3 linked regions of the Oryzias latipes genome follow. The protein of the gene in region 3 purifies or fractionates together with the protein of the main gene of each other region. This does not show direct contact. Links are inferred from orthologs where the notes say so. Each region holds a gene or a part of one and is shown on either strand. Other genes may lie near its edges.

What was found.
Region 1: the proteins of chaf1b (region 3) and cbx5 purify together in Homo sapiens (affinity purification with mass spectrometry; 8 studies listed by BioGRID and IntAct, with this or other methods). This does not show direct contact. The link is inferred for Oryzias latipes from reciprocal best matches to the Homo sapiens genes CHAF1B and CBX5.
Region 2: the proteins of chaf1b (region 3) and chromobox protein homolog 3 purify together in Homo sapiens (affinity purification with mass spectrometry; 3 studies listed by BioGRID and IntAct, with this or other methods). This does not show direct contact. The link is inferred for Oryzias latipes from reciprocal best matches to the Homo sapiens genes CHAF1B and CBX3.

Annotation. Positions count from the first base shown.
Region 1 is NC_019865.2:12,832,966-12,842,907, reverse strand, and holds the start of cbx5 (chromobox protein homolog 5), read left to right. Parts: upstream 1-4,663; 5' UTR 4,664-5,225; intron 5,226-5,707; 5' UTR 5,708-5,761; coding exon 5,762-5,892; intron 5,893-6,114; coding exon 6,115-6,352; intron 6,353-8,127; coding exon 8,128-8,228; intron 8,229-8,967; coding exon 8,968-9,109; 3' UTR 9,110-9,942. Other genes in the region: nfe2 (transcription factor NF-E2 45 kDa subunit), read left to right, coding at 1-922; heterogeneous nuclear ribonucleoprotein A1, read right to left, coding at 2,337-2,395, 2,482-2,601, 2,686-2,805, 2,885-2,938, 3,025-3,174, 3,258-3,468, 3,536-3,682, 3,753-3,869 and 1 more. UniProt on the Homo sapiens protein: Component of heterochromatin that recognizes and binds histone H3 tails methylated at 'Lys-9' (H3K9me), leading to epigenetic repression. In contrast, it is excluded from chromatin when 'Tyr-41' of histone H3 is phosphorylated (H3Y41ph).
Region 2 is NC_019869.2:11,212,574-11,222,807, forward strand, and holds chromobox protein homolog 3, read left to right. Parts: upstream 1-4,105; 5' UTR 4,106-4,237; intron 4,238-4,909; 5' UTR 4,910-4,917; coding exon 4,918-5,063; intron 5,064-5,727; coding exon 5,728-5,884; intron 5,885-5,983; coding exon 5,984-6,078; intron 6,079-6,736; coding exon 6,737-6,863; 3' UTR 6,864-7,256; downstream 7,257-10,234. Other genes in the region: nuclear factor erythroid 2-related factor 1-like, read left to right, coding at 260-734, 836-1,599; sorting nexin-10A, read left to right, coding at 9,171-9,203, 9,307-9,393, 10,218-10,234.
Region 3 is NC_019879.2:24,743,110-24,753,312, reverse strand, and holds the start of chaf1b (chromatin assembly factor 1 subunit B), read right to left. Parts: upstream 6,477-10,203; 5' UTR 6,370-6,476; intron 6,046-6,369; 5' UTR 6,014-6,045; coding exon 5,888-6,013; intron 5,653-5,887; coding exon 5,520-5,652; intron 5,272-5,519; coding exon 5,151-5,271; intron 4,107-5,150; coding exon 4,003-4,106; intron 3,932-4,002; coding exon 3,835-3,931; intron 3,751-3,834; coding exon 3,663-3,750; intron 3,515-3,662; coding exon 3,421-3,514; intron 2,862-3,420; coding exon 2,792-2,861; intron 2,675-2,791; coding exon 2,583-2,674; intron 2,487-2,582; coding exon 2,327-2,486; intron 1,320-2,326; coding exon 816-1,319; intron 1-815. Other genes in the region: MORC family CW-type zinc finger protein 3-like, read right to left, coding at 8,893-9,031, 9,121-9,281, 9,854-10,203. UniProt on the Homo sapiens protein: Acts as a component of the histone chaperone complex chromatin assembly factor 1 (CAF-1), which assembles histone octamers onto DNA during replication and repair.

The sequences.
Region 1 (9,942 bases), on a different chromosome or scaffold from region 3:
TTCTCCGGGTTCAAGTCGACACATGCTTTGGACAGCACATGGCCAAAACATGCATGGCCGCATGGCTGATGGTCTGGAGTCAGAGGCTGGTCTTTCTTTGGGATCAAGTCCACCTTTGACATCTCCACTAAATCCAGTGGGTGCTGCACAAGGTTACCATAATGTAGAAATAAATGTGCCTTACAGTGATGTTAACTCAGGCAACATTAATGATCATACCAGGAGAGCACATATCAGTTATTCAATGGACTACCAAGGTCCAAATCACTCATATTTTGACTCAGGTGTAAATCCGTATTTTTCTTCTCAAAATTCCTCTCACTCCCAGCCATGTGCCACAACTCATTCAGCGAGACAGCAGCACAACACAGTTGCTTCATGTGAACGGTATAATGAATTAACCAGCAGGGGGAGCTCTCAGCATAAGTACTCAAAGCCACACACGGGCCTTTCCAGTTCTGCTCCACTTAGCAGGGATGAGCGGAGGGCCATGGCTTTGAAAATTCCCTTCCCTTTGGATAAAATTATCAATCTACAAGTGGATGATTTCAACGAGCTGCTGACTCAGTATACTCTGACCGACACTCAACTTGCACTGGTCAGAGACATCAGACGGAGGGGAAAGAACAAGGTGGCAGCTCAGAACTGCAGGAAGAGGAAGCTGGAGAGCATCATTCATCTGGAAAGAGAACTGAACCAGCTGCAGGTGCAAAGAGAACACCTCACACAGGAAAGGCTAGAGTTCCAGCGCAGCCTGGGCTTTGTCAAGTGCCGTCTGAGAGACCTTTATGCAGAAGTGTTTTCTCACTTGCGAGACGAAGATGGACAACCTTACTCAATAGATGAGTATTCTCTCCAGCAAACACCCGATGGGAAAATTTATTTGGTACCTCATACGATGGAAGCAAGAGATCAGTGCTGAATATAAGGACTCGTCTGTGCTTTGGAAGTGTTTTTACTTTTCGTGCCAATCTCAGTTTGTGGTTAAACTAAGTTTACGGTGACACACAAGACCAATGTTTATAATAAAAAACACACAAAGTGTTGATAAAATATTTTATTTAAAAAAAGAATAAAAAAGTAAAAATCAAACTGCACAGCAGTTTTAAGCACTGTAAAAAAAAATTTAAAAAGAATACTTCAGCGTTAGCACGACAGTTCAGCTAACCTGTGGAAGAAAATAATCTTTGTTCAATAAATATTGCCACAAACCAACCAGCAGATTCACTTTCTTGTACCTGGGCCATTCTCACAGAAATGATGTTTTTGTAGTGCTGGATACCGCTGGAAATCACCTGAAATGCAAAACAAAATAAAAGTATAAGGCATTGCTCAAAGGTAACCTGTATTGACTGCATGCAAATTACAGTGGACCTCTTTGCACTGCAAGAGATCAATTTTTGATCAAGTGGTATTTTTTTTAGCCATGTCATTACTGGGCTACAAAACTCACTACCAGCTTAAAAGGCAAAAAGAGAAAACACCATCAGTAGTTGAAAGTCTGGTCTTACCTACAGACAGCATTTAAGCCTTTTGGTAGCTGCTGCCTGCTAGCCTCAGGCTTCTGCTCTCACTCTCCCCTGCTTCAATGATCCTGGCGATGGCTTTGCTACTTCTCTCCCTTAGCTTGCTTCCATGGCTAGCCTCATAGACTTTGCATGTAAGCTAGCCTCCTCGAGATGATCTTTGCAGAATTCGAAGTTGTCTGAGCCAAGTCACGGCCTTTTTGAAGATAACATTTGCGCACCACTGGGAAATTGCCTTTTCCAGAGCTTGACAAAAAGTGGCCCTTTTCCCCGTTTAAGTGTCAACCCTCCCTTCACCCAGACCACTAAAGAGGCTAACGAGACTTTATAAAAAACTGAAAGGTGGTTTATTTCAGATTGAGTTGATGCAGTTACAAATAAAAACCAGACTTAAAGATAAACATAAAACCCTCATTGGAATGCTTGCTTTCCAAAAAAAACACATATGATGAAAGAAAAACAGAAGACAAATTTTAAATGAAGGCCCTCCATGATTTATCTACTGTACATCTCTTCTTGTAGCAGCTGTAACCTGCCACAACTGTTTGGCTGAGCAGATTTAGGAGGTAAACCTGCAGCTGCCCTGTCACTTCGCTTGCTCTCCTCTCCTTGCTCTCCTCTCCTAAGTACTCAGTCCTGTTGAACAATATGGAACAACATTGTTAACTGTGCACTGTCTTCATAAGTCCTGACATCCAGAGTGAATTCGTTTAAAGTTAGCTACACTTAATCATTCCCTAAAATGATAAACTCTGGTTTTACGACATGTAACAGCAAGTTTATGTCTACAGAAGCTTACCCCTTAGAAACTTAAAATCGTCCAGGACGGCCATAGCCACCGCCATTGTTTGATCCACCGCCATATCCACCTGGAAGACAGAAAAACAATCAACACACAAGGTGAGGGTTAAAATACTTCTGTGTTGGTGTGTTTTCACCAAATCCAAATACCCACCGAAGTTTCTGCCTCCTCCTCCACCACCACCACCAAAGTTGTTCTTCATTGGACCAAAGTTGGAAGCCTGCGGGTCATAGTGACCCATGTTGTTGTAGTTATTGCCACTGCCACAGTTTCCTTGAAAATGGTAGATAAAAATGATTAGTGACAACCTCATCCTAAAAAAGGGGGGGGTGGAGGGACGGGGTTGTTGTTGCTCACCATAACCATTGCTATCATAACCATTTCCACCATATCCTCCACCACCTTGGTTGTAGCCCTGGTTGTACCCACGGTTGCCACTGTTATAGCCCCCAGGACCACCGGGCCCACCTCCATAACCTGCATCAAACAACCTTAAGTCTTCAGATGTTCGTAAATTAAAAATAAAAAAACAATTTATCTAGTATGCTGCACTTACCGCCATCGCCTCCGTTGCCGTTGTAAGGACCATCTCCATATCTGCCCCGTCCACCTTAAAATAAGAAGAAAACCCAAAACTTGTTATGGCTGTCTTACAGACCCAATGATTTAAAAAAAAAATACTACAACCCACATTACCTTGGTTAAAGCCTCTGTCGTAGTCATAGGGTCTTCCACTCCCACTGCTGCGGCCACCTCTCATTCCCATTCCAGCAGTCTGCATTTCCTGTTTGGTCAGGGCTTTCCTCACCTCACAGTTGTGGGAATTGATTGTGTGGTATTTCTGGACTATGAATAAAAAGGCATGTTTCAATTTTTATGAAAATCTTACAGGGCTTTCCCATTCTAGATCAGATACCACTAGTACTCACTGACAATCCTGTCAACAGAATCGTGATCGTCGAAGGTGACAAAGGCAAAGCCCCTCTTCTTTCCAGTGTTCCGATCAGTCATGATATCAATGACTTCAATTTTGCCAAACTGTTGGAAGTAATCCCTCAGGTGGGACTCTTCTGTGTCTTCTTTGATCCCTCCAACAAAGATCTTTTTCACTGTAATATGAGCGCCTGGACGATTTGAATCCTGCACACCAAAACATTTGTTATACTTTGAACAAGAAATCAGATTTACGTCTAGTCATATAATATACCTCTCTAGAAACTGCTCGTTTGGGTTCCACCACCCGTCCGTCAACCTTGTGTGGACGGGCGGACATGGCTGCATCAACTTCTTGGACAGAGGAGTAGGTCACAAAGCCAAAACCCCGGGATCTCTTGCTGTTTGGATCCCTCATCACCTAAAAATGAAATACTTTAAAGCCAATTCAATTTGGATGATAGCAATCACATCTTGTGAAAATGACTCACAACACAGTCTGTCAGGGTACCCCATTGCTCAAAGTGAGCTCTGAGGCTCTCGTCTGTTGTCTCAAAGCTCAGGCCTCCAATGAAGAGCTTGCGAAGCTGCTCTGGCTCACGTGGGACCTAAACAATAGATGAAGACGTCAACAAGAGGTTGCCGCAAGTTCAAACACTATGAGTTAAAAACACATTTTTGAAAACGAAAGTCCACTCATTGACTTTCGTCTCTATTTCCAGAACATATCCAGCGTCAAAAACAACAACAGCAGGAGGGTTGGGTGGTGCAGACATCGCCGCCATTAGCGATCAACGATTGCAGATTGTTCGACTTTTTGCAAAAATATGTTCGCCTAAGGTTGTTAATATTGCGGTTAATCGAAATAACGATAACCAGTGACTCATATTAATATCATTCGATTCATTTCGTTTACCTGTAACCAACAATAGGCCACGAGGCCCAGTTGTTACAAAATGGCGGCATAAGGAAAAGAAAGCTTCTGCAGCGAAGACGGGCTGTTTCGACCGAGACAACGTGCCCAAATCTAAACCATTGAAGCCATTTGACGAAACTGGACCAGCTAAATAATTTGAATCGTTCAGAATACAAAGACTTACATCTTTCGACATCTTGCTGTATTTTGTCGGAAACTCCTAGTGACACAACAACCACGCAGCGATCTGCGCCAGACAAGATCAGGCAGCAGTCAAACGCTAGGATAAAATGGGGAAAGGAACGCCCCCTTTTTACACAGTCATTGGTCAGTTGTTCCCGCTGTAGTATTTCCTCAGAGAAAGGTGAGTTTTGATTGGCTTACGTCCTATCAATCATTCAATTAATCCAATCCCCGAGCAGGATAATGCAGTGTGTAAAAACGGAGGAGGAATGGGAGAAAACAGGATGCTTTCGCAGACATAGTGACATTTTATCTGAATAAAAATGAAATGATAGATTGGGGCCAATAAACCGCATCAATTTGGATCACCATCATAACATTAAACTAGATTAGTTTTGAATGGTCGTACAGCTACTTTTTTTATCTAAACAAAATAAAAAGTATAAAGAAAGAATTACACAAATTTTAAAGGACACAACACACACTTTTGTTATTACATTTTTAGCTATTTAATTAATAGTTTGGAGCTTTGTTTATATGTAAGGCATTATGTTTCTTTGTCAGCGTACATTAAACGTCTAATAACAAAACATATAATTTTACACATTACTATTACAGTAAGTAAATACCATGGATTGAGACCCTTGCTGCTAACCTGCCTGGTTTCTTGGTTATCAGCTGACCGGGAGGCGGGTTCATTCATTGTGTGCTTTTAACGCGCGCTTTTTCCGCTCAGCACCTTTATGTGATTTAAGCTACATGCTAACGTAGCTCCGGTAGACTGGTAGACTGATAGCTGCTGCACAAAAGACGCAAGATAACGCTGCAAAAAACGCACTAAAACTGACGGCCCGATCATCCTAAAGTAATCGCACTGTTAATTTATCGATATTGTGTTTTTACTTTAAATAACGATTCGTGATTTGAACTGTAAAAGTGGCAAGTTAGCTTGGGGTTCGCTTACATGCTATCTTGTCTAGCTTCTAGTACCGTTAGCAGAGCTCAGTTCGTCGTGCCCCATGCTTGTTTTGTTTTCTTACCTGTTGTAATCTTAGGGCTATCTTCGTTAAAAGAACAAGTGTTATGTGAAATACTTGCAGATGTGATTTTTATTCGTATAATAATTTAGTTGCTGTTATGCTCGAGTGTGTTATGCACGACAATTTCTGTGTTAGCGTCGATCAAATGCTAACGCGTATATTATCATATCTTCTTTTCTGATTCAAAGTATATCCTTTTTTTAATTATCTATTTACGTCTGATCTGTGCGTATTAACGCATCTGGAAATACTGTGCCAAGATGATCGGTTGTTATTTAAACTTTGGCTTCTCTTCTTTTGGATCAAGGAAGTGCTAACGGCCTGTGTGTGTGACAGCGTGCTATAAATACCAAACTTTGCAATGGGCAAGAAGTCTCGCGAAGAGAAATCCTCATCGTCTGACGAAGAAGAATATGTCGTGGAAAAGGTGCTGGACAGGAGAGTCGTGAAAGGCAGAGTTGAATTCTTCCTAAAGTGGAAAGGATACTCAGAGTAAGTAAAAAACAAAAAACGCCAATCTGTTAGCAATTCTATTGTAATTGCAATAATACAATATTACTTAAACCGCATAAAGACGTGCAATGTAATGTTAAGGGTTATGTAGCTGTGTGCACCGCGGTTTTAATGTTTTTATTTTGGGTGTGTTTTCTCTTTGTTTGTTACTATTGTGATTATGCAACTGTCTTGAGTTACTTGGATGGTTTTCCTTTACAGGAAGCACAACACCTGGGAGCCGGAGAAGAACTTGGATTGCCCTGAGCTTATTGCAGAATTCATGAAAACCTACAAAAAACCAGGCAGTGGGAGTGCCACACCTAGCACTGGTTCCAGCAAAGTCAACACAGGATCATCGGGTCGCTCCAAAGAATCCGGGAGCTTAAAGAAAAAAGGTTCAGATGATGAGGAGGAGGAAGACGAAGAGGGTGGAAGTAAACCTAAAAAGAAGAAAGAGGTGAGATTTATGTATATGCAATGTTTGGATTCACTGTTTTCTAGGCTGTCAAGATAAATGAGGAAAAATGAGTTTTTGTTGTTTTTCCCCTTTATAATAAAGTTTAGTTTGTTTGTTAGGATGTTACTGTACTTTATGCAAGGTTCTTAGAATTTATCTATTTTATTTTTTCCAGATCTACATTTAAATAACGAAATGTTAATAAGCAAGGGAGAGATATTTACAACAGTACATGTCAATTCTTTATCTTTCGTTTCCCTAGTTTCTTTTAGACCAGGGATGTCAAACTTGATGGCACAGGATGGGCAAAAATCCAAAACCCACTTTAGGTCGCTGACAATAACACTGTACTTTATAAACTTTTAAAACTTCTTTTCAACATAAATATGACAAATATATTTCTTTTAACAGTAAATGTTAAAAGAAAAAAAAACATTCAGTTTTCTTTACTATTGAATGACTTTATAAAAAACTTACATTTTGCTCATCTGTGAGACATCATCTGCGTGCTGTTTTATTAGTCTTCATCACTGAGAAGAGCTTCTCACACAGAAAGGTGCTACCAAACACGCACAAGGGTGAAACTGCTTTTCTGCAGGAATGGCGTTCATAACCTGTGCAGGTCCTGCAGTGTCGTACTTTGCCTTCAGTGTGCTTTCACTCTGCAGCTCACTCTGCTCCATCTGAATCTGTACAGGGGCAGTTTCAACATAGACGGCAAATGGTTTGTGAAGCAACTCAAAAATTCATTTTTGTTATTCATAATCACCAAAGGGCCGGTCGAACTTGATGCGCTCAGTTTATCAGCAAAGTACGGATTTGATGTTTTGCCTCATAGTGCTGTCTAAAGATTAAATTCCTTGAATACAGCCACATTAGCTCCACAAATGAGACGCATAAATTTATCAACAATGTCAGTAAACATATTCTGCCTCCCATCAGTTTGAAAAGCCCATTTCCAGGATTAACTTTTCACTTTTGCACCGACAGAGGGCCAGCTTCACTATCACTTGCAGCATCATAAACTAGACTTCATTGACGTGGGAAGTGTTCGGCAAGGCAGCTGAAGCGCTGCATTGTGGGATCTGTAGTTGAATTTTACCAGCGCTTCATATCGCCATGCCGTAATTACCAATAATATAAAACGATCATGCTAACCGAATATAATTGCATGCCGGGCTGCATGCGGCCCGTGGCCTTTAAGTTTGAAACACACGTTTTAGACATATAATTATTTATTTTTAGAAGATACAATTGTTGATATGTGCCAGTACACTTCACCATTGAGAAATCCACATGTCTTGATCTCGCATCCTGTTTTTGTGGCGTCCTGAAAATTACAAAAGGTCAATAAGTCAGGCGATCAACTAGTTGATGTGCATGTCAACATGCTCAATCTGTCTGTATGTGTTCAGTGCTTTACTTCTGTCATTTTGCACCTTGTACAAATAATCAGCCTTTTCAGCACAATTCTACATACAATCCAATAAAAGTAATATTTGGGGGGCTAAAAGAAACTAAAATCAATTAGACATGGATTAAAAAATTGTTTATAATACATAAACCAATAAGACATATTGAAAATGATTACCGCAAAAACAAGCAAAGTATTAATCTGTTTATACACAGAAGGAATTTCAATAAAATATCTGACGGCATTTGTCCAGTAGAGCAGTAAAGTGTAAATATGAGGTTAAAGCACAGAATCAAAAGACAAAAACAAACAGTTTTAAACATTTCCTCAGGTTTGAACTTTTTTTCTTTGTTTCTTACAGGAGGAAATTCTAGTAGCCCGTGGCTTTGAAAGAGGACTTGAGCCAGAGAAAATCATTGGAGCCACTGATTCATGCGGAGACTTAATGTTCCTCATGAAATGGTAAGTTTTGTTGTTGGGATGATGATGATTATGATGATCTGGTGTGAAATTGCTGCTCCGCTAGGTGCAATCACCACAGACTGTTTTACTGTTGACTGCAACATGGAAGGGAATGACTCTTAAAAAAAAAAGGCTTTTGACTGTGTCGGTTAACTGGGCAAATCACCCATTAGAAACTTCAGTAACCGGGCTGTCTGTCCATAGATGAACAGGAAGCCAAACCATAAAATTAATGTTATCTCTTATTACCTAGATGGATATACGCAGTGCACCATCACTCATGCCTGGTTCTGGACTCATATTTGAGTTGCAGACTTGATACTTTTACTTTGAATAAATTTACAAATCCATAAAAATAATCATGAATTTAGAATTGTTCTCATTTGCTATGATTTATAGAAAATTCTCTGTGATCAGTTTTAATCCTAGAGCGAAAGAACAAATAAAAACACCTGTGATGAAGTCTGACTATACCTTTGTTGCACCAGATGAAAAGTTTGTCTTGCCAACTTACCCATTTTATTTGGTTTTATGATAGAACACTTGATGCTGTCTCAATACATGGTTAAATTGCAGTGTAAATGAACCTCTTAGAAATATAACAGTGAAATGCCATTTCACAGAGACTAGGATAGAGTGCAACCGCCTACAGCTTGTTTATGAAATCCCACAATGCCTTATTTGGACTTAAGTTAGTGAAGTGTGGTGCAAAAATATTTCAAGCTTTACCCTCTTTTAGGAAAGATTCAGACGAGGCGGATCTTGTTCTTGCCAAGGAGGCCAATCATAAGTGTCCACAAATCGTCATAGCCTTCTACGAGGAGCGCCTCACCTGGCACGAAGACGGTGACAAGAAGGAGAAGGATGCTGTCAGTGCTTGAGTGCAACACCTCTGGAGGAAACCTCCACTGCAGGGAAAACATTCTGTTGGACTTTTTGTTTTCCTTCTCCCAAACTTCCATCCCTCACTTTGTCCAACAGTGAAACAAAAACAGTGCATCCCTTTTGTTGTTTTCTCCACTCATGCCTCATTGAGCACAAGGGCCCAGACTCTGTAAAGGATCCATCAAATAGAAAGCTGTTTGTTAGTGGACCTGGGTGATATGCTACTGGGCAATGTTTCTACTGTTTTTGTATTGATTTTTTTTTTTTTTGTAATATCTTAACATTTTTGTCTTTATCTTTTCCCTGTTTTTTAAAGTGCTTGCATAAAAATGTTACTAGGAAGAAATCTGGAGAAACTATTACTGGTGGCCATCTGTTAAAGTTGCAAATCCAGACCCAAGTACCAGATTTGACGGTTTAGGGGGGAATTCCCGATCCCCATCATTGTGTTGTAAACAGTGCACATCTTTTCTTTGACAGGAAAATGTTGAAGCTATTCACTTATCTTTCTTTTTTTACCCCTTTAGGCAGCAGATATCACACCTGATTCATTTTTAAACGTGTTTAATAATCGTTTTCCCCACTGTTTCTATTTTTTTTTTTTTTTTTAATATTTGTAACCGGTAATTTTTAACAGGGCCACTCTCACCAAACGCTCAAACATGTGCGATCATTTGATCATGACGTCTACTCTGCCATCAATTCTCTTTGTTGTAGTTTAATATTTTTGTTTCAGATTAAGGTAAGAAAAAAATCCTAAATATTTGTCCCAATGAGTAGATGTTGATCTGATGTTCAGGATTCCATTGATCATTCATCTTCCTGAAGC
Region 2 (10,234 bases), on a different chromosome or scaffold from region 3:
CTGTATTTAATTAAGCAAAGTGTGATTTAAGTGACTTTTTTGTTTTGTTTTATTTTATTTTCTGTCCTTTTAAACTATGCATTTCAACATTTCTGTAATGAGTTTGATAAATATGTGTAAATCCTTTATTGCTTTGACTAAAATGCTTGAAATAAATTGATCAAATCAAATCAAAAATCAAAGTAACACAAGCAAAACCTGCTTTTCAGGAGAATGAGATGAATTCCATCTAAAAAGACACCATATGTCTCCTGTTTAGGACCTGGATTGTCTTGTTTCTGGTCGTCTGCCAGACCTCAACACTGACATCATAGGCGCCATCAGCCAGAATGTCAGTTTGCACGATGCTATGGTAACCAGTTCTGGAATATGCGGTGAGTCATCGTCTGAAGGAACTGAGCCCAGGAGCAGTGCTCAACAGCAAAGAAACCTCCTGAGGCTGGACTCCACGGGATCTTCTGACACTTCGCCTGAGATGGCTCTGGGCCTTGCTGCACTTCCTTTTGCCTCAGTGTGCAATATGACACCAAGTGCTACACCACAAGGTACACTGAATGACTGTCTGGATGAAGCTGTGTTTGACCAGATCAATCAGCTTGGCTTGGATGGCCTCGAGACAATAAATAACCAGCTGTTGGGCAGCCTGGGGTGCATAGAGCCCCATGCCCTTGAAGACTTGGACTCCGACTCTGGTCTTTCCTTGGAGAGCAGCTCTGGCAGTCCACTATCCCCAGGTTTGTTGTGACTTTTCTATCTTCAGCCTCGCCCACTGAGACTAGAAAACATAAACCTTTTCTGACTCGCAACCACATTCATGATTTTGTTATTCCCCCAGGTTCATCAGAGATTTCATCATCTTCCAGTTCATACTGTGAGGATGAGTGTGGAGCCACAGGCTACAGCAGTGAGGTAGAATCTGTCCTCTCAAAGGGAATAACGGACTACAGCACGACATGGCCACCGACTCATCCCAATGAGAATATCTGGCATGACCACAGCTACGCATCCGCTGCTCTCTTCAACAAGGCAGCAATAACGCTGCCCCATAAAATCGAGGAGCCTTTTAGCGATGATGTCTGCTCAGACTTGGAAGAACAGGAGCTGAGCCGGGATGAGCTGCGAGCTCGCGCCATGTGCATTCCATTTTCCGCTCTGCAAATCGTCAATATGCCCGTAGAAGAGTTCATGGAGGTTCTGGATAGCTACGGTTTCTCATCGGAGCAGGTAACTCTTCTGAGGGACATCCGCAGACGTGGGAAGAACAAACTAGCAGCTCAAAATTGCCGCAAACGCAAACTAGACGCCATCACAGGGCTCCAGGAGGAGGTGGAGATGTTGCAAGCTCAGCGGGACAGGCTCCTGAGAGATAAACAGCTTACAGCCAAGACGATGGGTGCCGTGGGGCATCAGATAAGGCAGCTGACCAGAGATGTGTTGGCGCGGCTGAGGGATCGTTCAGGACAGCCCTTGAACCCAGAGAGATACACTCTGCAGTGTGGCGCTAATGGGAGGGTTGTAGTCCAGCACATCAGACAACCTGCTGTCTCCACATCTGCCAGCAACAAGACAGACAAGAGGAAAAAAGACAAAAAGCAGTGATGATCGTTTACACACCGAAACTTAGGATTTACCTTTTCTGGGCATATTACTATGCTGAATGGCTTGACTCTGGTTTTGGGATGCCTTCTTTTTTGTTAGTGTATATGGATCCAAAAGCTGCAAAAATAGACATTCATAAAGATAAAATCCTAAAAAGAATATCTGTAAATATTGAGAAAGTTGTAGCTTTCACACTGGACTTTGGCAAAACAAATGGTGCACTTATGGGAACAGCTTAGTGTGTGGCAACTGTACCGGTCTCTTTGTCCCTGCTAAGTTCTAAGACTTTGTGATGGTTACTGCTTAGAGATCACACAAGTGTTGATTCTGTTAGTTTCTATTTACGTTTTGCCTTTTTTTTTTAACCATATCGAAGAAGAGGAAGAAGTAAAAGATTGTATTTATTAAAGTTTTGTCAAAGAGCTCAAAGTGAATATATACACGATGAGACTGTCCAGGACGGTGTCTTTTTATTATAACTTAATCTAAGTGAGCAGACAATTGAAATTTCAACAATCGGATATTGGAGAACACTTTATATTAGATTGATAATTACTATTTAACGATTGGCATTTGACAAAACAAGCGTTTGAGTTTTTGCCTCACTTGTCTTTATGACAGACAGAAAAAAACTGGTAAGATTGACCAAATCATAAAATTGATTTACTTTTGTAAGATAATGAGCATTGTTAGAGGTTACAATAACAAATCTTTTTTAGGTTTTTCCTATTTTCTTGCTAAATAAGTTGTTTGTGGGTATGCAAAAGTGTGCCTTTGATCTAATGACTTTTTTTTTTTTTTTTTAAGTTTGCTGAAGTTGACATTTTCGTGAAAAAATTACAATCACAAACTCTCGGTTTAAATGTTGTTGATTTGGTTTCATGTGCTTTCTGTGACATTTCTATCTGTTTCTGCCATTTCCTGTGTGAGCACATTGCTACATATCTGTTTACTTCAGGATAAAAAAAATACTCCCAAGTTTTCCACTTGATTTATTTAAACTTACATTTCAAAAACCTTTTCCATTTTTTTAAATGAAATTCTACCTCAGGTTTATTTTTTTTTCCTAATCCCTTTTTGACTAATTTGAAAGGTTTGGTGAACTTAAGTGTACTTGTATAATAAAATATTCATTATTACTGTGACCCCAAACAGATAAGCTGTCCAGTTACTTAAAAAATCTATCAGCAAGGCAAGATGTAACCCTTTAAATATTTGTCATTATGCAAAGGGATTGCTATGAAAACTATGGGTTCACAGCTTTACAAAGTCAGCCAAGTGTGTGAAATAATTGTGGAGTGCATGAAGTGACATTTTTCTTTTCCTGGTTTAGCTTAAAGTTTACTTTTCTGTCTCTAAGTTTCGCAAATGTGTGTCTTTCTTGTTTTTTGATTGTTTGCTTGTTGATTGCTGATAGTATGGTTTTTCTTGAAGAATTTAGGCGCTTTTGGGGGATTTGTTTACTCTGAATAAAAAAAGAAAGTGGCATTCTTGTTGTTTTTTCTGATAAATATAAGATTATTGTTCACATTTTATGTGTACCTTTAAGTCTAAGCATTTTTTAAAGTGGGGTGAATGTCTTTCTCCTAACTTAAGTACTTTGCTAGTGCTTTAAGTTTTTATTATTATTATTAATCCAAGTACAACTCAAATCACACCATTTGGCCAGTGCTGTAGTTATTTGGTATTGTCAAAAATGGTAAAGAAGACATTTTGACAAAATTACAATTTTTCTAGCAGAGAATTTTTTACTAACTCGGTTCACTTGGTGTAGAAGATATTGTTCACTATTGCAAATAAAAATAAAAAAATAGAAACATTTGGATTGCAAAAGTGTAGACTGAAGCACAGATCATTTTATTTCGCCTTCACACTTATAGCAAAGGTATTGCTTTAGTGTAACTAAATTTAACAGACAACCTTATATTTATCAAGTAAAGATTACTGAAAATGAATCACTTTACATTTGATAATCACATTGAGACAGTAAATAATTTTCACAGCTTTAAACACTGATACTTAATTTTTTTCACACTCAATCAATACAACTGCACTGACACAATATTGTTTTGTGTATTTGTTATTTTATTTAGGGCTTTATTATTAGGATTCTATGCACCCAAATTCTGTAGATCATTCTATAGCAGGTAAGTTGGTTTGCATAAAATAAACATTTTTTGTAGTATTCTTTAGTAACACGAGTTTATTTTAGCTCAGAAGTCATTTGTAAGCGTCAATATCAAAAAAACTCAAGACATACAGAATATTTAAAACACAAAAACAACTATAAGCTGTTCCTTTATTAGTGAAAACGATAGAAATGTGTCAATGTTTTAAACATGCTGCAAAGCTTTACTCGTGTATTCTCATTTTTCATTTAAAATGAAAAAACATATTTTAAAGATTGTGAGATAAACCGTTATATAAACTGAGAAAAAATAAATGACGTAAAAATAAACTAACAGGACACCGTAGAGTCACAAGTGCTCTAAAGCAAATTGTTTCCTTACGGGCTTCCGTAGCCTACTCGCCTTTTGCGTTTGGCGCGCACCCTCCTTTCTTCATCTGTACATAAAGACAGGCAGTGACCGCGTGGTTGAATAAGTCGTCACCGAGGTCATTTTCTAGGCTTTACAAGGTATGTAAGCTACGTTTACCGGTATTAAATGCTGCATCTCATCTCTTTGTTTTTGAACTTTTTTTCTTAAATAACTAAGACGTAAGGAGTAATTTAAGCTAACTTCTTCATCATAGAAATGAATGCAATGAACCGAACAGAATTTGTATTTGACTCTTCACAGCTCAAGCTTTTTAAGTTTATCAAGCCCGAGTGTTGTATGAATAGTATACTTTTAGTTTTAGACTGTTGATTGTCTCGTTTTGCTATTGCTATTAACTTAACACTAGCACGAACAATCTTTCGTTTTTTTGTTGGGTGTCGATATTGCTGTATTGTTGTAATTATTTGAGGCGTTAAGGTAAGATCTAAAGAAAACACGTTTTTGTAGCATGTTGATGTTCCTTTTTAGTAAAAAGATATAAACAATGGTACCATGGCCTCAAACTGTTTTGGCTACGTTAGCATGTTGGCTAACCCAAAGGACGCTAGTACCATTTACGGAAAACTTGCGGAGTGAACGTGGCCGAGTCGCGTCCGTCGTAAAAAGTTGGAAAAACTAAACACACACATGCTGTACACCTTTATATTTACGGTACAAGCCTTTCTGCTAAATGTGGGTCCTACAGGTGAAGTGGAAAAGGGCAGTTGCGTGATACATCGGCAATTGACTCTCCTTCCTCTTGGTTTTAGAGGCCAGAATGGGCAAGAAGCAGAATACAAAGAGTAAGAAGGACTCACAGGACACGCAGGAAGAGCCAGAAGAATTTGTTGTGGAAAAAGTACTCGACCAGCGTCTCGTCAATGGGAAAGTAGAGTTCTACTTGAAGTGGAAAGGATTTACAGAGTGAGTTAACTGGAGCCTCTCCAGCTAGTTCTTTAGAATGGGGAAGGGGGGTTGGCCTGTTTACTCTGTTACCACATTTTTATGTGGTTAAGGAATCAGACATTTACAATAGATTAGCATGAGCCTTAGATCCAATTTTAAAGTTTTTGTACATTTATACTATGATTCTTAATTTGACCCCTCCCCCTCCTTTAACTTGAGCTTTCATTTAGCTAAAATTAGCCAAATTTTTGGCCTCGATTTTCCTTCTGGCTTATGGGTATACAAAATGGGCTGAATACTTCAGGAAAAGAACAAGACAATTGGCTCGAATGTGGCAAGCATCTGCCCTTTTTCTTTGTTTTCCACTCACGCTGTAACTACCCATATAACGTAAACCAAAATTACAAATAGTTCATTTACATGCAAGAAGACACCAGATTATATGCTTTAGACAATTTTCTCATAACTTGACCAGTCTTGTTATTTTTTAAAGAACACCAGATTGCCCTGATCACTTGATAACCCAGATCATTTGGATCTGATTGGTTTCAGATTGTTCTGAACATGTAGTAAAGTCATTTTTGCATGAAGCTGCTAGTGTTCTCCGCATCCTGTTAGCTTTACATTTTTTTTAAAAGTCATGATTTATATGCAATTGATCACAGCCCTCTTAACTATTTAGTGCTGACAACACCTGGGAGCCGGAGGAGAACCTGGACTGTCCTGAGCTGATTTCTGCATTTTTGGAATCACAAAAGAATATTAAGGAGAAGCCTGCTGCTGTTAAAAGGAAAGCCTCCACAGATGAGCCAGAGACAGAGCCCAAGAAGAAAGACATGGTATGTCACAATGTCATTGCAGTACTTTGAGCTCAGTTCTAATTAGTCATTCTTCCATTTTAAAACTGTTTTCTGAATGTTCATGTGCTTCCACTTTAGGCTGAGAAACCACGTGGCTTTGCCAGAAACCTGGAGCCAGAGCGAATTATTGGAGCAACTGACAGTAGCGGGGAGTTAATGTTTCTGATGAAATGGTACATTTTTATAGAATGTCTCTGACTGTCTACTAGACAGAACCTTTAAAAGATGTTTATGAAATGAAAAAAATTATAAGATAAACATCCCACTTTAAAATCTGGTTCATAGGATTATCATTGTAAAACTCCTCACTACACACTTTATACACTTTTCTCAGACAAACAAACATTTTCACACTTTTCTCTCTTGTTTAAACTCTCAAATAAGACAATAAGTCCAATATTTTAGAAAGCAGACAAAAATCTGGTCACAATGGAAGATGTTTGTAATGGGCAAGCTAAACGCATTTGTACAGGAGACATGGGAGGGAGGAGATGGATGACATGGTCATCAACCAATCAGGATCCAGAGGGCAATCAAAATAAACATGCAAAGATATTTATAAAAATTTGAAGCAGCGATAGATAAACCACAGCATAGGGAGGGGTTAATGTAAAACTTGTTTTAGGTGAGCAGTACAATTTGGCCCAGAATGAAAACTTCTAGTTTGAACGTTGTTCACATTTTCTCTTAACTTCATTGGTTGGTTCACAAAAGAAACATTGTGGAAAGATGTTATTTATTGTGGAATATCATATGACTAATTTTTTTAAAGTAGTTTTATGTTGAATGTTTTTTTTTTCCATTTGTGTAACGCTGTTTAATTTTTTACAGGAAAGACTCCGACGAAGCGGATTTGGTCCCGGCCCGTGAAGCCAACACTCGCTGCCCTCAGGTAGTCATATCCTTCTATGAGGAGCGACTGACGTGGCATTCCTGTCCAGAAGATGAAGCTCAGTAACTGTTGTAGTTTGTGCTGTTCTTTGCATTACCTCTGCTCCTTTCTCAGGACGTTCTGTGCTCCTGTTTCCTGCCTTATCCTTCTAGTTACATGAATTACATAGATTTTTTTTTTTTTTACGCTTGTGTGGTTTTCAATGAGCTTTAAGGTTGTATATACTGGTTCAAAGCTTTTTGAGCTGTCAAAGGTTTTGCAATGTATGATCATTGAAGTCTTCCAAAGTATCTCATATTAAGGACCACTAAGTGTCATACATGTCATAACAACTCTAATTGTTAACAGTTTTAGTGCCTGCACTCATTCTTCCTGTTTGCCTGCTTTTTTCCCCAAAAACATTTTGTCAACAGTCTGTAAATGTTGTTTCAATTTGTAATAAAAGTTTTATGCAGCCAACTTCTTCTTTTTATCCTTTAACCATTGTTTTTTTTTTTGTTCAATTTCTTGTATTGTGGCATTTCTGCTAAGGTTGTCTTCCCCGTAACTAACAGGTAGTTTTAATAAGTGAAGATGCTCATAAAAGCTCTGGATGCAGTGATCACTCTATAGTGATTAGTGTGTCGAGCATGAGACATGAACTTTGGATATTCCTTTCTTTTTCTGTCAAAACATTTGAGCAAACCATATATAAGCACTAAGCAGTGTTGGTGACCCTTTATTTGTAATGAGTGAATTAACGAAATCCTGGAAAATCCTATGCTTTCGCCCTTACATTTTCAGATTTGATTTGTTTGGAAAAGGGAATTGATAGAAATCTCTTTTACTCTTTAGTTCAATAAATGTTTTTCTATTTCAAAATCTCACCAATGACCCTTTGGTGTATGAAACAAAGTTTATTACATGTGTAGTCTAACTTTTTATTTAAATTCTTCAGCTATCTTACTGTAAAAGGTGACCGTCAACCAAGAAGCTCATCCAGGAGAACACGTAAATGGAAACATTCTTGGTAAATTTAGCATATTAAGGTTTTTTTTATAAAGCCCTGGACATATTTGAAAAAAAATTGTTCTTTCACATTCATAATTTGTGTCCACATTTTAGTATTTTTTGTGCACAAATTAGTAGTTGGAATTAACAATGCTAAATTTGTGACCACAAGTGAGTAATTTAAGGGAACAATTAGTTTTTTACATCATGTTCAGTGCTATGTATCCTTTAACAAAAAGCAATAAACAAAACATGTAGTGGTCCAGATTGTTAATAGGTTAACAAATTATTTTTCTCGTGAAGTTGCATCTTTGTGTTCCAAAGCTTCCTTTTATCTATGGAAAACCTTTTTATTATTTAAAATAATGTGATGTTTTTTGTCATTTGTTGTGAAACACTGAGGTCTAATACCCTTAGGATCCGTTTTAATTTGGACTTTTAATCGAACCACTAAGAAACAGGTTCGCAATGACGCAACGCTTAAGCGCCCGGATTTTGCGCACACCTGGGTCGGATGAGCAATCAAGAAAAAGTCTTTTTTGTTTGTTTTTAATCTAGCGCATGGCGTGTGGGTTTGTTTTAATGTTATATCCATATGTCTACTTGCATTGGCCTCCCCCAAAGCACGGAAGGGTCCCACTGAGCAGCTTACTTACATAACTTCTGTGCACACGAGCTAAACTCTGAACTACAGCCCTGAGCCGGACCAGTTGGTTTAAAGAACAGATTTGTTTTCCACACGCAGCCCTCAGAGAAGAACGGTAAGCGCAAATGACAAAACATCAATTTAAGTGTTTAAAATGTCCTTCAGAAATACAAATTTTTCTTAAAGAGTGCTATTCAATTGTTCAATAAAAAGTTAATATTGTAAGCATAGAGGCAAACATCTCTTTGGCTTTTGTTTTTCCTTAAGTTTAAGTCTTATTGATTGTAAATCCAAATTAACCTCAGTGTGCCCACTTATCTTTTATTTTTTTTATTTTAATAATTGTATTTTATTGACTGATTTAGTAAACGATGACTTCTTGTGAAGCTGAAAGGTCTGACATTAAGGAGGAAGTTCAGTGAGTTACTATGATTTCATGTGATGATGGAAGCACAGTGCTGCTTCAACCTGCTTGCTTTTATTATTTATCTGTTAGTGTAAGTGGGATTTCTTATAGCATTTGAGGACGAGTTCATGTGCTGCAGGCAACTGCATAGGCAAAAGAACCAGAATCTTCAGCAAGTCTTAATTTTTTGGTTAATTATTTTTTTTTTGCTTGAGGTAGGCCTCTTGTTTGTTTAAAATAAATTTTACTATACTGCACTTAATCTTTTTATACTTTTATATAGACTGATTTTGAGTTAATGTTATACCTGTCTTTGCAGAGTTAACCTAATATGAGCCGTGTTCTGAATAACTTCAGAAAATCTGTAAGTCCTGCATTTGCTCATTATTCTTAAGTTTATTAGCAAATGTAAAACATTACTACAACACGAAGGGTAAAATCATGCATCTCTGTTTGAATTTTTGCAGGAATTTATTAGCATTTCAGTTCAAGATCCAAAACTCCACAAAGAAGACATCTGGAATACATATGTTGACTATGAGATCTGTCTACAAGTATGTATCCATGGGGAAAATGTGTCCTAGGTGTAAGAATGGGAGGGCTTGATCCAGTGCTGATATTTGTATTTCTGCCCATTTTCCATGATCACCTTTTACTTGAAGAATTGTTTAAATTGAGAGGGGAAAAATAATGCAAGAAGACTGATTTGAATAGAAAAAAGGAGTTTGCTCCTATACTTCTTTTACAGTTAGTGATGAAGGGCAGAGGTCTGCAGAACTGTCAGCTTCCAAACGTATTAGCATAACTTTAGCTGAACTTGCATGTTTGAAATGCAGCCAATGGCCTCAAGCACATTTCCTGTTGAACACAGAGGTAAACATAATTTTAGGGCGATTCTTTAGGAAGGTGATGGGACAACTGCCCATTATCGAGAGTGATGGTTCAAATTTTGGATGATACCCTCCTACCTACTCATCTAATCAAAGGGTGACGTTATGGTTGCTCCAGCATGGAAGTGACCCGCAAAACGGGTCCTCAAGAAAAATCACTGTCATGTAGGAGCCAAATGGTCAAGTTGCCTATACTGTTGCTGAGACATCTTAAGCTGGAGATATTTTGTGAAAATGGATGGATGGATGGATGGATGGGCGGGGTATTTCTTGTGAGCAAATGTGGCCAACAACTCATCAGAAATGCTTGTTTTTTCCCATTGGGGAAAACTTTTTAGGAAATATTTTGCTTAGATTCTTGCACTCATTGTTCATATGGATCTGTAACGGGCTGCTTCCATATTTGGTGGGTGTGTGTATAAAAATAATCTGAGCATGCTATTTATTTCCCTCATTGTGCCAAACTTTTTTTTTTTTTTTTTTTGCAGACCAATAGCATGTGTTT
Region 3 (10,203 bases):
CACACTTTCAACAACAATTTTAACACACAAAATAAGTCATCAAGAGCATCTTATTTGTATCTGTGTCTTTAGTTAGTACCTGTGCATTTTACACACTGCTGTCGCAAATTAAAAGAGAAAAATGAGAACCCTTATTGGAAATAGTTTTATGTTTAAACATTCTGTATTTTTTATAGTTTTAAACTCCAAAACTTTTAAAATTATATTTTGTTTTTTTCTCATTTTAAACAGTTATTAAATTTCTATGAAATGTTAATTTTAAATTACTATTAGATAGCATTTTTCTTATACTTCAAGACGTCTTTTAATTTCATTTATTTTATTTTTCTTTCGGCTGAAAGAAAAATGTTGTAAACTGTGAACTACTATAAGATATTAAAAAAGTAATAATTTCTTAAAATAAAGCGGGAAAAGCTCTTATTTACGGGACATTTTGTCATTCTTTGATAGTCAAAATGAGTTTAAAAACTAAAGTCCAGGCTGAGGTGTTTGTTCGTCCTCTGCTCTCCTTTTGCAGAACATCTAAACCTCCACATGAGGTCAGAAGATCCTGAGGTTCTGGACTTTATGGATCTTCTGCAGTTTCTCTCTTTTGTGTTTTATTCCAAAATTGTTTTGTTTTTTTCATTGTAAAGCTTAATTTTGTTATATCTCAATTTTACAGAATAAAATGTGCTAAAAAACAAAAACCAGGGCAGGGAATGTTTTCTGCCGTTGGTTTCAGACGTGTGAATTTGCAGATGAATGCACTGTTGGTGAAAATGTAAAAAAGCAAAGAACCGTGTAGGTTTTGGAAAAAGAAGCGGCGCCTTCACCTGGGTGTCGGTCCCTTCGGGGTAACTTTCGGGGTGGTGGGTGCAGCACTGTTGGGCACCTTTGGGGTGGAGGGGTTGAGGGGCGTTATCTGTGGCTTGTTTGCGGGGGAGTTTTGGGGAGTAGAGGGAGATTTGGGCGTCTGCTGTCCCGGTGCAGCGGGAGCTTTGGGGGGGCTGCGTTTGCCCCACCCCTCCAGCGTGTTGAGGGTGATCCTGCGCGGCTGCGGCTTCAACACGCCCTTCGGCGTGGCCTTCTTCTCCTCCGAGGGAGTCGAGGAGGGGGCGTCTTTGCTCACTTTAGGGGAGGAATTTGCGGGCTGGGATGAAGGCGGGGAGTTCTTGGGTGCTGCGGGTTTCTTCCCTTTCTTCTCACTACTGTTTGGGACAAAGTCCTCTAAGGTGGGGGGCTCTTTGAGGGGAGTACCCAGCTCCCCAGGAGAGAATGACAGGAAGGAGCAGTAACCGTCTGTGGAGGACACGGCCAGGAAGGAACCATCAGCAGACCTGGAGGGGTCAGACAGGACCAAACAAAAAGTAAATAATAATAAACTTAATAAACTCTATTTGTATAGCACCTATTAAGATAAAAATCACAAAGTGCTTCTCAGTAAAACATGATAAAAACACAGACAATAAAAAATAATTGAGCATCTTTATAGGATTTATAAAAGCAGACTGCCATGAAAAAATATCAGTTTCTCACATTAATTGAATGTTTTCTGCATAAAAATAACTAAAATGGTAAAAACAAAAAAGAAGTTGTGAAGTTTTGTGTCAGGACGATTGTTTTAGTGATGCTAAATTTTAACAGATCAGTTTACGGATCAGTTTTTCACACAATGTCACACCATGGATTGAAGGAACATCATGCAGAATCAACGTTTTGAGTTTTGAAGTGTATTATAATGTTCATTCCTCACGAAAAACAACCCCAAAGTGGTATTTTGATCTGTTCACACATTTCTGAGTATTCCTCTAAAAACCAGACCCTCCCAATCCCTGAGACTGACTGGGATGCTCATACCTATTGACATGGGGGAACCGCCCCTTCCAGGAAGAGTCTGCGCAGCCAGCCCCGCCCCCAGACTAACACACACACCCATTTTCTCTGCAGAGCTAGCGATGATCAGCTTAAACTTTAAAGAGTATGCACATCCATCTTTGCAAAAGTTTATTGTTTGTGTTCGTGGGCGACTCTAGGATGACGACATGACAACAAGTGTTTCAGAACAAGAAGCTGCACTCTTCTGCATTTATAGATTTGTTTGTTTTTTTGAAGAAAACTGAATAATTTATTGGATTTATAACAGAAAACCAGAATTTTTGTTTAAAAGCCGAGTCTCCCCAAAGAAATGACAGCAGGATCTGAAACTGGAAGTGAAAAAAGTTGCATGATGGAGACAGACACACCAGGACACTGAGGGGGGGGGGGGGTTAGCATCATCCCGCTCGGATTTCTGGCTCTGAAAACGGTTAGAATGATTAAAAATGGACATAAAGAAGTTGTTTACCATGACAGGTCACTGAGTGTGTGGTAGTGGATGTTTGACACCAGGCCGAACGGAAGGCTCTGCTGCGTGTCGTACAGGAAGATGGAGTCCTCCGAGGCCACGGCAAACACCATCCGGTAGGGAAGCTTGAATAAATTAGGAAGATCCTGGATAGATCCATCTGCAGAAGAAAGGAGGCATTTAGTGAGGAATATTTTAACCAAAAATAAAAGCAAATATTTGCTCTGTTATCAATGTTTCTTCCATCTGTCCTTGCCTTCTCCCTTTTTGGTTCTGAGCTCAAAGTAAACGGGGCAGCAGCGCACGGCCAGCGTAGCTTTAGATGGACACGGCAAGTGGGCAACGGGCCTAAACAGGACAAGCAGGGAATATATATATATCCATGAGTCAGAATATATCAATTCTATGTCAAGGTTAAGATTGAAAGACAAAAAAAAAACAAAATAAAAAGACACAAGACTTCACCTTTTCAGACTTTTTCTGGAAAAGATGTAGGTGGTGTTAATGATGTTTTCTCCAACTTCCACACATCCAGCTGCAAAAAATAAAAAAATCCAGAAACAATACTTTTATGGAGTAAAAAAAATGAAACTTTTCAAGTTTAAAGACCCTCTCCAACATTTTGATCTACTGTAAAAGCGTTCCCTGTGGTCTTTTGATTATCCTCTTGTTAGCCCAAATCAGAAAACCTGTCATTTTCTAGGACATAGTTTCTGCAGAGCGGCTGGAGTTCATTACAAATTCACCTCTGAGTTGTGACGGGGAGTAAGGCTGCGCTCATTTCCCATCATCCCTTTGTTTACACTCTCCCCCTCTAGCGTACAGCCCATCACACTCCCAACCTAACATTATTGGTGCAAAAAAATGGCGAGCAAAGATGGACCTGTCCAACGCATTTTATACATGACAAACACCATTTTTCCCAGCTGCATTTTTGAGCCTGCTCCAGATTCACAAAAAATTGATTAAGAAATAGTCAGAAGTTTTATTTTCTGCTTCATTTTCTTAGCATTTGCCCTCCAATATCAGAAAAATGCCACAAGAACATGTTAAAAAACACCAAAACAGAATTTTCGTCCTCCGAGTGGGTTTACCTGGTGTAATAAGAAACGAGCCGTCTGGCGTGAAGGAAAGACGGCGAAAGAAGGACCTCATGCTGTCGTCTTGGAACATTCTGTACTGCTTTGCCTGAATAATGACAACCCAGTGACTTCACAGGCACAAAAGGGACAGAGAACACAGTCGTGTTGTTTCATTTCATTTTGTTTCTTACTTAAATTTAGTTTTGGACTCAAAATACCAAATTAAGAACATCAGAGGCTAAAATGCGACTGACCTCGCCCCCCTCTGCCGGCTGTCCTGAGCTCATTTTACTGACAGTGACGGCCTTTTTCTTAGTGTGGGTGCTGTAGACACGCAAGACCCTGAAAGAAAACAAAAAACATCTTCAGCCTGATCACATCCTACTGACAGCGGATATTTTCCTGAGGTTGAATCCAGACGTTCACCTGTCGCAGCTGAGAGTGGCGACATACTGTCCCAGAGGATCCCAGGTCACACCCTGCACATAGCTCTTGTGATCATTTAGGATACACAACTTCTGTCCTAAAGAAAAGAAAAGCAGGTACTGTAATTGAACAGAAATGTAATCATGTGTGAAACGCGCAGAAACAAACCTTTACTGACGTCCCACATGATAGCTGTGTTGTCGACAGACCCCGACACCATGAAGTTCCCATTCCTCGTCCAGCAGACGTCGTACACATCCTCTATGTGACCCCTGGGAACAAAAGAAAATTCATTTATGGGAACAAGAAATGTGGGGTTGGGATAGCATTTACAGTCTCTACTTCATTTTTTGAAGAAGACATGACGTCAGTTTGTGGCACAAAGAGGCCACAGTAGGACACGGGTTGTTGGTGCAAACGCTTAACTTCTGTCAAATTTTGTGCAAGACTTAATATAGCCAGAGAAACCAAAAATCTGAAAAGATTTTTGTGAATACATTCTATCTATTTAGTATTTGACTGTGTTCATGTGCTTTAAAAGTACTATGAAAAATAGATAAAGGGGTAATATTCAGTCAGCATTGGCGTCTGCCCATCTACTTTTCAAACATGTGTATTTTTGGTTTAGTCTAACTGAGACCTTTTTTTCCCTTAAGCATTAATGACGGTCATTGCATTGATTGTGTAACAGTTATAATGGAAGACGAAAAGTGCCTTAGAAGCAAAAACGAACGCACGCCGTGGAAGCCTGAACTTCACGTCAAACAGTTGCTTTCGTGCGGTGCGTTACTGTTGATAATGCACACTTCGAAGGCCATTATCCCGTCTATATCATGGTCATTTACAAAATAAATAAATATTCAATCAGTTTTTGGTACTTTATTCTTATTTTTTCGGTTTAGATCACTTTTTGCCCCCCACAAAATAAGTCGTTTGAGCTGGAATCTGACTCAAAACTGTACAGCTGGGTAGCGCAAATATTACTCGCCAATTTTGTTCCACCGCTCATGTTAGGCTGGGGGTGTGTGGGGCTGCAAGTTAGCGGCAAAGCGTGTAAACTGTGAGCTCTCAATTATGGGTGATGGAAAGAAGAGGTGGGTTGTTCCACACCAACAGTCCTGCCACTCTGCAGAAACTATGTCCTAGAAAATGCCGGGTGTTTGGCTAAAAACAGCATCATCATAATTAAAAGACCACTGGGATTGCTTTTAAAATAGATCAAAATATGATCCGAGGGGGACTTTAAACATTTGGTGCTAAAAACAAACAGATTCAACCAAATATAAATAAAGAGTCAAACTTCTCTGCATGTGTACCTCAGTGTTTTGACCACAGACCAGCTCTCCTTGTTGAGCAGAGCATCTTCATCCTCTTGGAACACGGGAGCTTGCTCTGGCTCCTTCGTGTCGTTCAGCTTCCATAAAAGAATTGCAGCATCTGCATAACAAACAAAACAAACAGTTCATTATCATATTTTTGTTATCAAAGTTGAATTAGTATAAGAGAGTAGGTTTAAATAACCTACAGCTTCTGCTCATCTCCCTTTCAAACATGTTTATCTTTTTTTAAGTTCTGTCAAACAGAGACTCTTTTGGATGACTGCCTATAGTTATCAGCGAGTGTATCCATTTATCTACTGTTAAACTATAACATGTTTGAAATAATAAACTACATAATATTCATACCATCTCCTCCAGAAGCGAGGAGATCTCCATTGGGGCTGAAACGAACCACATTGACAGCTTTTGTGTGTCTAGCCAGGTTTGACAGGAAGTCCACCACGGCCTTCCCGTCCGGACCCATGTCCGCCCGCCAGAGCTGCAGAAACATCAGGTTATGTCAAGGTCTGATCAAATACACGGCACTAAAGGAGCGTTTACTCTGTTCTCTGTGAGGTCTGTGGGGTTTAAAGCCGTGGAATTGTTTGCATCAGAAACATTTCAGAGGTTTGTAACAGAAAGGTGTCCCCTAAACAGACTTGTACATTAATATCCATATTTTCTTGCATCTTAATGTTACATCCAAACCATCCTGGGGCTTCTCCTCCACTCACCCTGACGGTGGTGTCCACTCCAGCTGTGGCCAGGCGGTGTATGCGTCCATCCGTGCTGTGCTGAAAGTCCAAACTGTAGACAGGCTCTTTGTTGTGCCAGGCTATTTCACACGTTACCACTTTCATTTTTTTTCTCGCACTTTCAGAGGCAAACAGACCTTTGAGGACAAAAAAGTTTTTTTTTCTTAAAAAAATCTTATTAATAACACATGAAATAGTTACAACTGCAAATAGGACAAATTAAGGGGACAGGAAAGGAATATATGTGTTTGTTTTTGTCACTTTAGCCAAAAGCTACAACGGTTAGCTTAAACTTTAGCGGTTCCTCCTGCCTTGGGTGTCTAAAGTAGACAGACGTCACGTCAAAAAAATATTATTTTATGACCTGCTGTTAGCTTTTAAGGTAAACGAAACACATGCTAAAAAGTTGTATCATTTTATTTTTGGACAATAACAAAGATTTGACCGAGTTAGTCTTTTACCTGCACGGGTGTATGAAAGAAGCTGCCTGAGAGACTTTCCCGCGTACAATTCATTCAAAACTTCCGGTCAAGGAAGTGATTGTAAGGGATGGGCGGGGCAAAAGACGGAAGTACTCAAATGGGTGGACCCGGATGTTCAAATTTTAAATTGTAATATACGTTGTACATTAAAATAAATATAAAAAGAAGTCATTAAAGCAAAGTAAACCGCCTCGGAAATATTCTGTTATATGATATACTGAGCATTTTAATGTTTATGATTGAAAGTCTTTTTCTTTCCATATCCTGTTTGTTTTGTCTTGTTTGATGTAATTTCATAAATATATATGAAAACATTTTATATTAAAACATTAGACAGTATCATCTTTTGTTTCATTATTAAAATCAAAATAGGAGAAATCTGCAAAAACATGATTCTATGTCTTGCCAAATTTAATATATGTAAATATAAATATATGCAAAACTTCCCATCAATTTTAGTATATTCAAAATATATTGAATTCAGAATATATTTAAAATCACTGAAACTGCTTAAGGGGCCAAAAAAAGGAACATTTTACCTTTATTTTGAAAGAAACGTATGATTTGTTTTCCCTTTTCTTCTCATTTGTCTTTTTTATCAAATTAATTAGTAGTTGTTTTTATTATTTTATTCATTTCTTGTTTCCTCTGATTGTAATTACTCCGAAATTCTGTTTAAATCATGTCTATTTTAGCCATGTTTTGTAATGTGCCAAAGTTCAAACAGAAAAACAAATGTTTGGCATTTAGGAATGCAGAATGATGGACTTTGCTAAGAGAACTGAAATGAGAGCAGTGGACAGATTTTTGCAGAAAAAGGAGAGCAACACAAGGACTATAATGGACACACAGAGAACTGCACGAATGTTTTAGGAATAGTCCAGGTGTCAAAGAGCTGAGCGGTAAAATTTGGGGAGAATGACTGCTCCTGTGCAGCAGGGAAAACTGTGACATTTAGCAATGGAGGGAGAAGCACTCACATTTATTAGTAAGTTTAAATAATTTAACCTTTTCAATTTTTTTGTTTCTAACTTTTTTAGTAAAGAGTGTTTGATATTAAACCCAATTTCACACTCTAGAGATAGAAATGCACCTAAATTACCACATGACTCCTCCTGAAACCAGGGAGTGTCCTTTTTATATGGAGCAGTGGAGAGTATAGCGTAGACGGCTTAGATGGTGGTGTGAGGATGACTCTAGAGGTGACGAAGATGAAGAAGACAGATAAGTGGTGGAAGTTGTAAAAGGGAAAGTGCTTATGATTTTTAAGGACGAGCTCGAAGATCAGGAGGAATTCCCAGATGACTGAACATCTACACGTAAAATGATCAAGGAGACTGGGAGGTCATCTGGAGAGAGGATCTTCTATTGTCCGGTCAGAAGTGACACCCGGTGCGGTATTCAGCTGCTGTGGCCCTTCTGACTCGAGGCTGGCCGTGTTGTGTTCAGAGATGCTCTTCTGCAGACCTCAGTTGTAACCAGTGGTTTTTTTGAGTTACTGTTGCCTTTATGCCAGCTGGAACCAGTCTGGCCGTTCTCCTCTGACGTCAACAAGGCATTTCCACCCACAAAACTGCCGCTCACTGGATAATAAGGAAGTGTGTATATATATATATATATGTATGAATGTGTGTAACAGTTCTTGTGTGTATTTTAAACACAACAAAATTAATTTTGCAAATACTGTTTTAATTATTTATATTTTCATATGCAGTTCTTTGATCAGCGCTTTTTTTTGCTTGAGTATAAAAAAAAAGGAAAACATTAAACAGAGTTTAAAAATGAGTGAAAAAAGCAGTGTTGACACTGAAAAAGAAATAAATAGCTATGTGCAGTATGGGGTTATTATTCTTCAATATGGTCAACTTGGTTTAGAGCAACTTAATTTAATATGACATTGAAAATTGTATACAAAATATAATTAATAAAACAAAAGGAACATAAAAAAGAAGAGGAACAGTGAAAACATGTTTAGAAAAAAGTCCTGTCTCACATCTTTGTGACAAAGTGCAATGCTTTCACATCCTTTGTGTCTTCCACTAATCAGGTGAACCTGGAGAACCAGAGCTTAATGCTACTGAAACTGTTCAAAAAGTTGGATTATTTAGATCAAAACTGACTATTTCTGTTACCAACGAACAATTTCAACCGAAGACAGAAAAACTCAATGTCTTAAACACTAGAATAGAATAGCTGCACTCAGATGCTGAGATGAATAAAAGCAAATTAAGCTTTTCAGCCATAAAACATAATTTACTGTGATTTCAAACAAAGGAATTAACAGCTCAGAACGCACATTTTTAAATTAACAACTTAATTTCCACAAAGCTGTTGTTTTATCTGCACAAGCGTTTTTAAGAAAGTTCTTCCCGGACACAAAAGATCGTTTTTGTGATTGAAAGGGACATTTTCATCAGTCCAGGTTTATGCAGGACCTTCATGATGAGCGTTCCACCTTTTTCATCTGTAAAATATGTCTTTATTTTGGGTGGGGGGGGAACATCAGTTGGAATCTAAGCTGGACAGGTATTGCTCCAGGATTTCATCGATGACGTTACATTCATAATTCACTTGATCCAATTCAAGAGCCGGCATGGAGGAGACAAGAAGCCGCCCGACGTTTTGACGCAGTTCAATCAAACTAAATTGGACGGGGAAAAAAATAGTTTTAGAGGTGATTGTTAGTCATTTAACTCTCAATATAGAAGAATGATTTATCAACAGACAAACCTCCTCCTGGCCTCATCAGGTTCTGCTGATCCTCCTGGTTTCTCTGCATGTGAAGCAGGAAAATGAAGGTTTCTTGTGCCGTCAGCTTGTTGCTGTATTTTGCATCTCAGCTCTTCACACTCAGCTGCCAGGCTTAATCTGTCCTCTTCTAGGGTGTCGAGCTGATGGTGAACACCGGTAGAGAAGAGTCAGAGGTTGAGGGGAGGTCAATGAAACCAAAAACCAAAATTAGCTGCATAAATCAATAATTTCATTTGATTCCCTCATTTAATGAATAAAATTTAAACCAAGTTAGCGAGATAAAGACACTGGAGTGATTCCCAGAAGAGCAATATTGAAGTTGTTTTTTAAAGGGTCACAAAATGTCAGATCTTAGGAGGCTTTCTTTAAAGGGGCGTTTATGCTGGTGTGTCCAAACTGGATTTTTGTAATTGCACACATTTATTCAGTTCTGGACTTGTGAAGCCAATAAAGTCTCAGAGTCCAGGGCTTGAGGCGCAGATGTAACTTGTAATAGCCAGACGGGCCCGCCAGCCCGCTCGCTCGCTTCTGCTCAACCAGGAAAGAGTCGCAGGGAAAAACCACCTTCCTCTGATCTAGTGTCATGGGCTCTAGTTCTAGTTTTACAATCAATTGATACTAAAACTGCAGCCTTTCAGAGTCAGTCTATGTTAGTGTTCAAGTTAGAAATGTTTTATCAGGACACGTGAACATTAGAAACTGAGTTACCCACCTGTAAACGGAGCTCGTCCAGCTCCTGGTTTCTTTTATCCAGCTCCTGCACCAAACATCCAACTTGAAGTGAAATCTCATCAATGTCTTTTTCTTCAGCACTAAGCTTAGTTTCTCTTCCAGCAGCTGCTATTAAAGCCTGTTTATCTTTCATCAAATCCTGCATTTTCTGCTTGACCCTCTCAAACAGAGACTTGTAGTCCCTTTCCTGACTTTTCTCCGCCTGGAATGACTGCTTGGAGCTCGTCTTCTGGCTCGCCTCAGACAGTTTTTTTTGCATTTCCTGCAGCTGGCAGGTGACTTTCTGCAGCTCCTCTTTGAAGCCGTCTCTCTCCTGGATGGCGTCTTGGA